Oreochromis niloticus: one gene and its partners. The protein of the gene in region 3 interacts with the protein of the main gene of each other region in a pairwise test. Links are inferred from orthologs where the notes say so. Each region holds a gene or a part of one and is shown on either strand. Other genes may lie near its edges. The genes, in order: ccdc146, lg6h22orf23 and ccndbp1.

Region 1 (3,755 bases), on a different chromosome or scaffold from region 3:
CTGTATAGCACCATTTATTTCATTTTATACACACTGTAAATGGGAAGGATTGGGGAAAGAAATGCTTCATTATGAGGATGTGTACAGTATTTATTTTACTTTGAGAGGTATGATAGCTTTTATATGATACAATGGTCATGCAGTACAGAGTTTAATGATTGATGACATTTGAGTAATGAGAAGGACTGGGCATAATTGTGATCATTCATAGTAAATATCTGCGTAAAATTGAAATTCTTTGTGTGTATCAGATTGATCTTTTCTATCATTCATATTCAGCTCTTGTGCCAAAAGATATGCAATTTTTATATTGGGGAAAAAAATAAAATTAATATTCCATGGCTGTGTTGCAGATTTCAATGTTCCATCGGTTTAAAATCCTTTTCATGCCTGCTCCACTTGTGTACTGGAATCGCCTTTCAAATGAATGTATACAAAAACTGTATACAAGTTTCGCATGAGTGTCTTTGAAAGTGTCTGCCGTCTAGTGTCCGAGGCTGAATGAGGCTTGTAAAAATGCAGGATGAGGTGCTGCATGCCCATAACAAATGGGTTTACGAGGTGTTGAACCAATAAAGCCACTAAATAAAAGGCAGATTTCATATCGGCTTCACAGAAGATGATAAAACTGTGGGACTGTGACTTTACTGTCTGTTTACTGTCTGTGATGATAAAGTTAATAAAAGTGTTGTGCTCATTCACAGGATGACTTCAAGTCCTAAATATTCACTTTTTTTTTTTTTACACTTAATGTTTATGACAAACACTTTATCGCACATTATGTATGTGCAATACTTTGATATCAGCAATTAAACTGCAAAAGAATGGAGGAAATAATAGTCCTGAACATTAGCCTTGTGCAAATACATGCATCTATATCATATCTGATACTATTTTCTTTTCTTCTGAGTTATGGGAGTTAAATCTCTCACTATAACTATCAAATAGGGATGTTTATCTTTCTGAAAACAATTTAAAAATGCCATTCACAAAATAATAACAACACAACAATGCACATGACTGTTACCTCATCTAAACACTGGGAGGCAGGACTAGCAGAGACTTCACTGGAGGTTGAGGGCTGCTTTTCTGGGAGTGACGCATCGGGTGCAACGGCCACTAGAGGGGCGTCCTCCTCCATTCCCTTATCCTCATCTTGCTCTTCCACTTCAACTTCTGCACTCTGAGGCCTGCATTCTGTCTCCTCCTCGGATGGATTCACTAATGATTGGATCAAAACATAATAATATTTAGGACAGAAACACACTAAACAAACATTAGTATCCCACAAGCTGCGTGGGACAGGAATCCGAAAATATCTAAATGTTTGTTACACCAAAGTCCTGGCACACAGTTTCAACATTTAATGCCCTTCCCTATGCTTGCTTACCAATAAATAAAACATAATATGACTAAAGGTGGGCAGCACAGCGGTGCAATGGCTAGCACTGTTGTCTCACAGCAAACAGGTCCTGAGTTTGACTCCACTATCTGGCTGGGGCCTTTCTGTGTGGTTTTTATATGTTTTCACCCCGTGTTTGCTTGAGTTCTCTCCGGGTACTCCGACTTCCTTCCACAGTTCAAACACATGCAATTAATGGGGTTAGGTTAATTGGTAATTCTAAATTGCCCATAGGTGTGAATGGTTGTCTATATCTGTGTGTTAGTCCTGCGACACACTGGCGGCCTGTCCAGGGTGTACCCCGCCTCTTGCCCTATGATAGCTGGCATTGGCTCCAGCCCCACTGGGACGCTCAGAAGGATCAGCGGAAGAGGATGGAGGGATGAATAGAAGTATTGTATGTGCGGAATACACCGAATTAGCCATGCAAAAGCCTGCTTTTATTCTGAAGGATTACGCTTCCGCCGGAAATCAAAATCAATAAATATTTTTTTAAACGTAGATCCCACAAAGTAATTTGTGAGCACTGTCCTTAAACATATTCAAAACATTTTAAGATGATGTATATTATTTGACCTCTAAACGTCACACAGAAAGCGTACTTTCTCGAAAAACGCAAAAAGACCAAATTATGACAGCTTATCGGCTATAACTGGTGCTAAGCGACTCCAGCTTAGTTTCTGCTTCTAAATTCTGTTAAAGCACACGAGAAGGCCATAAAAATAGAAAAAATGGGCTAATGTGATACAAAAAGGTGTATACGACATAACAATACAGCAACGAGTGTGTTGTTCAATTAAAGCATGCAGAAACTTACTTATTAGCCAGTTTACTTGCTGTGTCCGGTTTTTTGGTGTTTGTTAGATAAACTAGGAAACACATTCCTTACTCTTATATCTCTGGAGTCTTCACAGGCCTTTTTAAAATATATATATTTAAATAATTTCACAGCCAATCTCAGCAAAACCCAATCACCGACTTTTCACTTTCGTGGTGTGTTGTGGTTACCATAACAACGACGCTATACGTCCACTTTAATATAAGGAGAAAGCCTCGAATTTCACCTCTACTGAAAAGTAATGCGCAAGCTATGGTTATTTTTTCTACTTATCTACCGTTTTCTCCTGTTTTATTAATACACAAAAATCCCAACGGACCTCATTCAATCCGAGAATTAAAAAAAACAACAACTCATTTTACACTTGCAGCGCATGTCCAGCAGATGGCGTTAAATTACAGGTTAATTAAGCCTTTTTATCTCTAGCGCGTAATCGCCGTGTGTAATGAAATTGGCTCCATGGAACAACATCAGTGGCCAGCTGGCTGAACACCCTGAACTGGTGAGTGTTGAAAACCTTAAAATGATATCCAGGGTGAAAGATGGCAGTGATTCAAAGCCATTGTTCTCCTGTGGTGTTGAAAATTTTTTCCCCACATTGTACTGTGGGAGGTGGCATGACCCGTAACTTATTCCCGGCAACAGCTGCTGAGATGTGTTGTCTCAGCAGTATATGTATGTGCGTGTGCATGCTGGTATGTGATCCGTTAAAGATGTTCCATTAGGAAAGGATGTGATATTACTACAAAAGTTGTGAGTTTACTGGCACCAGGAAAGAGAAACCTTCTTGGACTTCATTTCTTTAGGGGCTTGGCAATCCTCAAACATTTGTTATTTGTTGAATTTTATTTTACACTTACTTGGCATGTCCAACATGTCCATTGGCTACACACACACACCACAAACAAACAAAAACCAATTCATCTTCTAAGTGTGAGTTCTTTTTTTGTCTAGAAAAGTCATAAATTTGGAATAGTAATGCAGTCATGTGCATTCACAATGCCATGTGTACACCCAGTGGAGATGCAAAGCCCTGACAACACACATATATACCTTATTAGGTAAATGTTGCTAGTAGGGTTGGACATCATTTTGCTTTCAGATTCAATGCAGGAAACATTCCTTTAGAGATTTTGGTCCATATTCACATGATAGCATTATGTACATGCTGTAGATTTGTGGGCTGTACATTCATAATGCTAATCTCAAATCTCAAAGGTGCTCTATTCGATTGAGGTCTGGTGACTGTGGAGACCATTTGAGTACAGCGAACTTATTGTCATGTTCAAGGCCCCAGTTTAAAAATGATCTGAGTGTCAGACAGACAGCAGCAATTCAAAAGAGAACCCAAACGCAGATTCAGTAGACTGTTTCTTTCTTATTCACAACACTTTATTGAACACAGGGATCATTGGAGTTAAAACAGGGCAGTGAGAGGCTTCACAGGAGCGCGATCCACTATTGCAGAGGCAGTGATGAATCATTTCTGCACACAGGATTGAGGTGAGAATATTT
Region 2 (3,755 bases), on a different chromosome or scaffold from region 3:
ATGATCACACACTTGATTTGTCCATAACCAGTTTTTAAGCTTTGCCTTAAACAAATTGAAAGTCGAGCATTCTCTAATGGGTTGAGGAAGACTGTTCCACAGATGGCCACCCTGGACAGAGAGGACATTCTGCCCAAATGCTGTCCGTCTGTGAGGTATAAACAAGTCTCCTCGGGTTGTAGCTCGAGTGGTCCTGTCTGAGCTTTCTTTATGCCTAATGAACTGCTTTAGTGGTGGTGGAGCAAGGGAGTGTAAGACTTTATATATTAAACAGACTCTTTTAAGTTTCATTAAGTTATTAAGCTTACTGAACAAAGCCACGAGTGCTTATTAGCCATGCTAAATTCTGTTTCCCTTACAGGCAAAGTAAGATGAAGTACTGATATTTGGCAGATTTTGGCCAAGTGCAAATATCAATGTCCCCCCTTTTTTAAAAAAAAATCCCCCCCCCCCCCTTTTGTGCAAAGGAAAGAAAGAATACTGCACTGCAGTATGATTTTATATCCTTACAAAGTATCTTATAACTAAAAATCTATTACACTGGGTTCACAGTTTAAAAGGACCACAAAACTGTTGTGGCACAACAGTTAAACATCATGCAGTCAGAAAGAGAAATACTGACCCATACCCATGAGCTGGTGTGTCCAAAATGGTAATAGAATTATGCCTTAAATTATATGTAAAGCAAACTAATATGGTTTTTGTTTTGTTTTTGTTTTTGTTTTTTTACATATTTTTATTTAAGTATAAGCATTTGCTAAAGCTGTAAATAATCAGCATTTTTCTGAGCTCTCTATTGTCATTAAAAATAACATATTTATTGTCACGATCTTTTACATCAGCAGAAGATACTATATTATTTGTAAAATATTTTTATTTCAAAAGAGCGTTGTTAGCATTGTTATGTTAAGAATTGTTAATATTGTCTTAATTTCAACAATAAAGACTTTTAATTCTGTAAAACTGTTTGCCAGTCGAGCCTGATTCAAAAAAAATAAAATAAAAAAAAATCACAAAACCATAAAGCTGGGACTTCAAAATTATTAAGAAATACTATGATATTTGTCAGCAATGGATTTTTTTTTTTTCAATTAATGGTTTATTAGTTACTTTACTACTCTTTTTGCACAACAGGCTACAATTGATGTCCGTGTCAGTACTGCAAAACTGCATTTTTCAGTCATTCAGTATGTCAAACTGGACCTTCCAGTGGGCCGGTTCTCGTCCGTGGGCTGAATGTTTTACACCCTGCCCTTAAATATTGTTTTCCTTACAGCAAGATTAGGAAGAATTGTCCGTTACAAGTCATTTGGGGTTATCAAAGAGAGTAAAAACACGTTTTCCATTTTCCAAGAGTGAGAAAGCACTAAGGTTAATATCAGCATTTGACCTCTAGATGTCAGTGTTCTGTTATCACATCGCTCCTCCAGGCTGCAGGCAGGTATCAGCAGGCTGTAGGCGGCTGTGTCTGCTGTGTTTCTAATCTGGGTAAGGGTGAGGTAAGGATGGGGATCGGCTTATGTAACACGGTGCACTGATTCATCCTGATTATGTCAGATGATGGAGTTCATCATCACATTAAGACGCTTCCTCTCCCTCCATCTAACAAATACATACAATGTTGTGTACCGCATAACCTCAGGGAAGACAAACAGACTCACAACCTCACACACTTACCAGCATCTACAACACATGCTTAAGCATACACATTCAGCAATGAATCTGCAGTGCAGTTTTAAGAAAAAACACTGCTGACCTAATGTGATCCACAACAAAGCATTAATATTGACAGTATTTTTAGTTGCATAAAAGATCAGAGAGATTCCGAGGCTTTGGTAAAACCTCGAAAAACAAAAACAAACCAAAAAACAGGGAAAAGCACTAAAGCGGATTTGGTGCATGAACATATTTTAAAATGAGAGATATTCATTTTAAAATCAATTATTGTAATTGCAAGTTTCCACTTTGTAAATGGGTTTAACTTCCAGAGCATGATACTGAAGTGATGTAATTTTGTACAAAAGCCTGTTTGTAACTTTTTATAAATTTACCTGGAAATACTGAGTCCTTCGACAGACTCAATAAAATCCACGAAATTCCTCTTTAATAATATGGAAGTCTGACGTACAGTTAATTTAACCCTCATGTTCTGGATTTTCTGGTATGTGAATAGTAACAGTTATATCTTTACCTCTCATGAGACCAGTTATGCAATCATACAAATGTTCTGCAGGACTACAAGGAGCCCAACCAAGGCAACGGTTAGTTTTAGAGTTTGATCTGTACTAGAGATTACGACTGAGCTGCTGCAGCTAGCTCCACTTTGATGTGCTATCATGGCTAAGACTGGGTTCTTAATCCTGCTAATCGGGGACAACATAATGAATGTTGAGCAGAGACGTTAACTAGCTAGTACATGCATCAACACATAAATGCCTTAATCAGAGCCTGAAATAGCTACATGAAGTTAATAGTAAACGATGCCATCTAAGAGCTAGAAAGTCCTTAAAAGGGACCTAATATGCTCATTTCCAGCTCCATAACTATATTCTTGGTGGCTTTGTATGACCAAAAGTTCAAAATAAACCTTATTTACCTTATGCTTGGTCTTGGTGCAGTCCTCCCAGTTTATCATGGTCTACTATAACCTGTTTTGCTCTTGTTTTTTCTGATTGGGTGCCTTCCAAAAAACAGAAGGTTTGAACAGCACGTCGGCGGGGCTTCTGTGCACACAGCCAGAGCTTGAGATGAGCATTTTGGAGACTACTTGCAGATACACTCAATGCATTATTTTAAATTTTGGTCAGAATGAGGTCAGAAATGAAATGAGCAGAGCCAATGAGAAGTGATAAGAATTTAGTGATTTCGATTCTATTATCAATTCCAGTATCGATTCCTTATCGATTCTCTTATTGATTCTCATTGGCTCCACTTTGACGATGGCCACCATTGCTAAGCAGCATGTCAAAGACATTACATTCATGCAAATTAATGGCATGTTGTGGGTCAAATGTTTGTTCATGTTGGAGGTATTTCCCCTCTTTATTGTGATCACCATTGGGGTGATCACAACAGGTCCACCATTACTCAAAAAAGGTAATATATTGTACAGAACATTTTTCTTAAATGTTTGTTTTCTTAAAGTTATGTTACATAATTACTCCAAGCAGTAAGGAATTCATTATGCTACTTGTTTCATTACTTTCATCTTACTCTGTAAAATAGCTGAAATTCAGTGTCTCATAATTACCATTTAACACTACAGTCCCTCACAGCAACACAAATCCCTATCCTGATGAGGACACACACATCATCTTTCTCTTAGTATTTAGGTTGGAACACAAAGCCAACAGCACAAAGCGAAAATGAAAACCTGCCAAAGTGATTCTACTTTAGAAACATGACCAGGTAGAAATAGGGGCTGCAGCCTGACTGCTCATCTGTTACCTGTTGAAGTTCAGGGTCTGGCTGCTGTGCCGGGGCTGTGCTGGGTTCTTGGCTAGCTTTGTGTTAGCATGCTGTCTGTGTAGATCAGGCTTGGCCAACTCCAGGCCTCGAGGGCCAGTGTCCTGCATGTTTTAGATCTCACCCTGGGTCTACACACTTAAATCAAATGATTAGTTCATTACCAGGACTCTGGAGAACTTCAAGACATGTTGAGGAGGTAATTTAGCCATTTAAATCAGCTGTGATGGATCAAGGACACATCTAAAACCTGCAGGACACCGGGCCTCGAGACCTGGGTTTGGACACCA
Region 3 (3,755 bases):
TCATTTTCAAACTACACAAATAAAAGATGTTTTTTTTTTTTTTCAGAGTTGAAGGAAAACAAGATGAGCAGAGTGAGCCCTGAAGCCGTGTTTTTCGGTGTGAGTGTCGTTTTGTGCCTGATAGGATTCGGGACCGGAGTCTTCTTTTTCATCAAGCAGCCAAATGAATGTCTTCAAATTTGAGATTGAGTTTATTAAATTAACTTTAATCATTCAGTCTTTAATCCCCTGATTAATTGGTTTTATATGTGCAAGCAAAACCCATCAAAAAACATAAAAATCCAGTATCTTGTGCTTACAGATAACTTCTTTATATCACTGCATTAATAGTGAATGACAGTTTGTTTACTTAATGTGTTTAATGTGTACTTACAATTTGTATTGTTTTTCACTTGATGATGTGGTGTTAATATACTTTGATTTTTAATAAAGAGATCATTACTGGGGTTGTTATATGATCAACGGTGTATGCCTTTATAACACGCAGACCTACAAAAGAATTTGTGTAGAATAATTCCTCCCTGCTGAGGATTTATAGATAAATAAAGCAAAAATCTTGCACAACTGTGAACTAAAGAGTTGTGACGTCTTTGTTTGTTTGGTTTGAGGCAGGTATGCGCGCTTGTTTAATAGTTTTTGAAGACTAGCTCGTTGGCGCCCTCTGCTGCGCTCCTGGCTGAATGGCAGCCGGGTCAGCAGGAACGTCCGGCGGCGCCGTTGTTTCGTTTATTTTTGTCCCTCTATCAACGGGCTCCCCTTATGTAGTTCCACAACACGCATGTAACACGATCCACAAACTCTGGCGACATGAGTGCTGATAGTTGTGGTGGAAAAGTAGCTTTACGGAATCTGGTTAACTCCATCAACTGCATCCGAGACCGAGTCAGAGGTAACTGTGCCACATTATCTGTCTGTGTTGTCACAAATGAAACTGCTTAACCATAAAAGCTTATGTCAAGCTAGCTAAACGTGCTAATATATGTGCTAACATTGGTATAAACTTTCTTCATGTTAACTGTTGTAGATTTACGAGTTTAACTGTTTGTTAAACTCGATTCGTGTGTTTAGCAGCAGTTAACGACTTTGACGTCTGTTTGTTAGCAGACAAAGACGGGGATTTAGCTAATTTAACATACAGCGATAAAGACATTTGGCACTTTATTACGTGACCCAGCTACATTTAACTGCTAATTCCTGTTCGCTTTTATTCAGGTTTTTATTCCCAGGTTTTGTAGAAAATGGAGGTTGGGGCTTTTTGTCTTGCTTTTTCAGTTATTTCATGTTGTCCTCATCTTCACTGACCTAAATGGGACATTAGACCTCAGTGTTACTCGGTATTTTCATGAGTCAGTTTTGTGAACAAAAACAACTGATTGTGCAGGATATAACAATACTTAAAGGTTTGCTTTTACAAAAGAGTGTAAAGCTGAAATACGAAAAAGATAAAGTGGACAATATCAGACATTTTAATACGAAAAAAAATGTTTATCAAGACAAACATACAAACAGGAACTAAAGCGCCACTCAGCCCTAAGTGGCCCTTCAGTTACTGCCAAAAATCCAAAACGACTACTGTGTTGTCGTCATCAAAATATTCAGACATTTCATTATGTCCAAAATAGTGGCTAGCTAATTGTAGTTGATGGGAGGTTTTGGTCTTCCGTCTGAAGAAAACCTAGTATATAAAAGCCCAAATATGTTTTGTTTTTTTTGTCCAGAAATGACACAGAAATGCACTGAGTTCTGTTAACACTTGAGAAGATGAGTCTGATCAAAACTGACACCTTTAACCCAAGAAACCCTTAAATGTTAAAGATTGTAAGAAAGAAATAATTTTTTTGTGCCATGGAGCTGTCTTCAAATCCTATTTTCTGACCGCTTATCCATTTTACAGTGATTTTAAACAGCAAATAGAAGCTAATTCTCCTATTTCAGAAATTGAAATTAGATTATTTAAAGATTAAATTATTGTAATTTAAATTCCTTGAAATTGCAAGGAGTAAGGGTAGTGAAGGTTAGAGGAGTTTAAATGCCTGGGGGTCAACCATCCAAAGCAACAGACAGTGCACAAGAAGAGATTGCAAGCAGGCTGGAGACGAGGTGTCAGGGGTGATTTTTTTTTTTTTTTTGAGAGAGAGGGATAGCAGCAAGAGTGAAAGGGGAGGTTTACAAGATCGTAGTTTGATCTGCTATGATGTATGGATTGGAGACAGTGGGACTAAAGTGGGCAAAAACAGGAGGTGGAGCTGGAGGTGGCAGAGTTTAAGAATTTCTTTGGAGTTATCAGCATGGACAAGATTAGAAATGAGTACATCAGATGGACAGGTCAGACTGAGCAGTTTGGAAACAAAGTTAGTGAGGCAAGGCAGAGATGCTTTGAACATGTGCAGAGGAGGGATATGGAATATCCTAGGCAAAGGGTGTTGTATATGGACCTGCCAGGCAGGAGAAAAGGATGAAGACCACAGAGAAGATTCATGGATGTAGTGAAGGAAGACATGCCAAGGTCTGGTATGACAGAAGAGCACGCAGGGACAGGATGAGATGGAGACAGATGATCCACTGAGCAGCCAAAAAAAGACGAATCCTCTGCAGTTTAGCTTAAGAACTAGAACCAAGAATTTAGAACTTTTTTTTTCTTCGCAGATGGAGAATCAAACGAGTCCGATGGAGCATTCAACCTCTCCAATTTCTGGGACACTTTGAGTTGAGTATCATGATCTCTTGCTGCTGTTTCAGCTCCTAGACTTTTGCATCGAACGTCCTTTGACAACTGGCTGATGTTCCTGTCTCGTTACAGTGAATGTTTTCTAAGAAATGTATTTGCATTGTTTTTATAATGTTTTTGCAATGACTTATTTGATATTAAAAAAAAAAAGAAAGAAAAAAAGCATTAGGAGAATTCCTTCCTTCATCGTCTTGTTGTTACATGATGCAACTGTCCTCGTGTCAGCAGATCAGGCAGTGAAGGCAGTGTCCCAGGAAGCCACTAAACTCAGCCTGGCCTTCTCCAAACCTCCTCTGCCATCACAGCAGGTCAGATTATTTCTGTAATCATGAAGGTTTCTCACTGAGCTGATAAACAGATTGTTTTGAAGTCTGGTATAGTGTAAAAATAAGAAATAATGATGATGATGATGTGAGCTGAACTCTTACTTAGAGCCATAAATTATTGTCATGTTTCTCAGGATCTTGAATTTCCACATAAACCTTCTAAAGACCAGCACATCATTTGTTTTCTGTCTGTTTTTCCTCCACAATCTCCAGGATGGAGAGAAGCTGGCAGATTCCATCATGAAGAGCATCCTCACACTGTCTACAGTGTATTACTGGCTACCTAAGAGCCAAGGTAAAACCCTGTGAACAGCAGAACAGTAATGTTGTATTCAGATGAGCGAGGTGAATACGTTGCACTGCATTCAGGTTTTTGGAGCATTTCACAATGCCAGAATATCACAATACACTAATCAGTCTAATCCAGACTCCAAAAGCCAGAGCAAGTGCCCGTCTGTGGGCTTATCCGTTTACTTCAGTCCGATGCGCTTCTGTGTTTACTACGGTAGTACTAACAAAAGTCTTCACTCACCCCCGAGTTATTTTGGAAAATTGGAACAACTTATTGAAATGTGCAATTATAGACGGCAATGCAGTTAATGAGGCATAAACAGTTTGTATAATTCTAACAAGCATCAAAGTCAATATTTGGTATGACCCCTTTTATTCTTTAGCACAGCCTAAACTCTCTTAGGCAAACT

What was found.
Region 1: the proteins of ccndbp1 (region 3) and ccdc146 interact in binary tests that used the Homo sapiens proteins (3 or more experiments, as listed by UniProt). The two-hybrid records come from large-scale screens. The link is inferred for Oreochromis niloticus from reciprocal best matches to the Homo sapiens genes CCNDBP1 and CCDC146.
Region 2: the proteins of ccndbp1 (region 3) and lg6h22orf23 interact in binary tests that used the Homo sapiens proteins (3 or more experiments, as listed by UniProt). The two-hybrid records come from large-scale screens. The link is inferred for Oreochromis niloticus from reciprocal best matches to the Homo sapiens genes CCNDBP1 and C22orf23.

Annotation. Positions count from the first base shown.
Region 1 is NC_031981.2:8,530,960-8,534,714, reverse strand, and holds the start of ccdc146 (coiled-coil domain-containing protein 146), read right to left. Parts: upstream 2,407-3,755; 5' UTR 2,221-2,406; coding exon 2,220-2,220; intron 1,541-2,219; exon of another isoform or gene 1,391-1,540; intron 1,222-1,390; coding exon 1,028-1,221; intron 702-1,027; exon of another isoform or gene 1-701. UniProt on the Homo sapiens protein: Essential for sperm flagellum biogenesis and male fertility.
Region 2 is NC_031971.2:34,108,826-34,112,580, forward strand, and holds the start of lg6h22orf23 (UPF0193 protein EVG1), read right to left. Parts: upstream 2,714-3,755; 5' UTR 2,597-2,713; intron 1-2,596.
Region 3 is NC_031970.2:14,580,948-14,584,702, reverse strand, and holds the start of ccndbp1 (cyclin-D1-binding protein 1 homolog), read left to right. Parts: upstream 1-728; 5' UTR 729-807; coding exon 808-889; intron 890-2,646; coding exon 2,647-2,706; intron 2,707-2,956; coding exon 2,957-3,036; intron 3,037-3,267; coding exon 3,268-3,349; intron 3,350-3,755. Other genes in the region: H-2 class II histocompatibility antigen, A-U alpha chain, read left to right, coding at 47-183. UniProt on the Homo sapiens protein: May negatively regulate cell cycle progression. May act at least in part via inhibition of the cyclin-D1/CDK4 complex, thereby preventing phosphorylation of RB1 and blocking E2F-dependent transcription.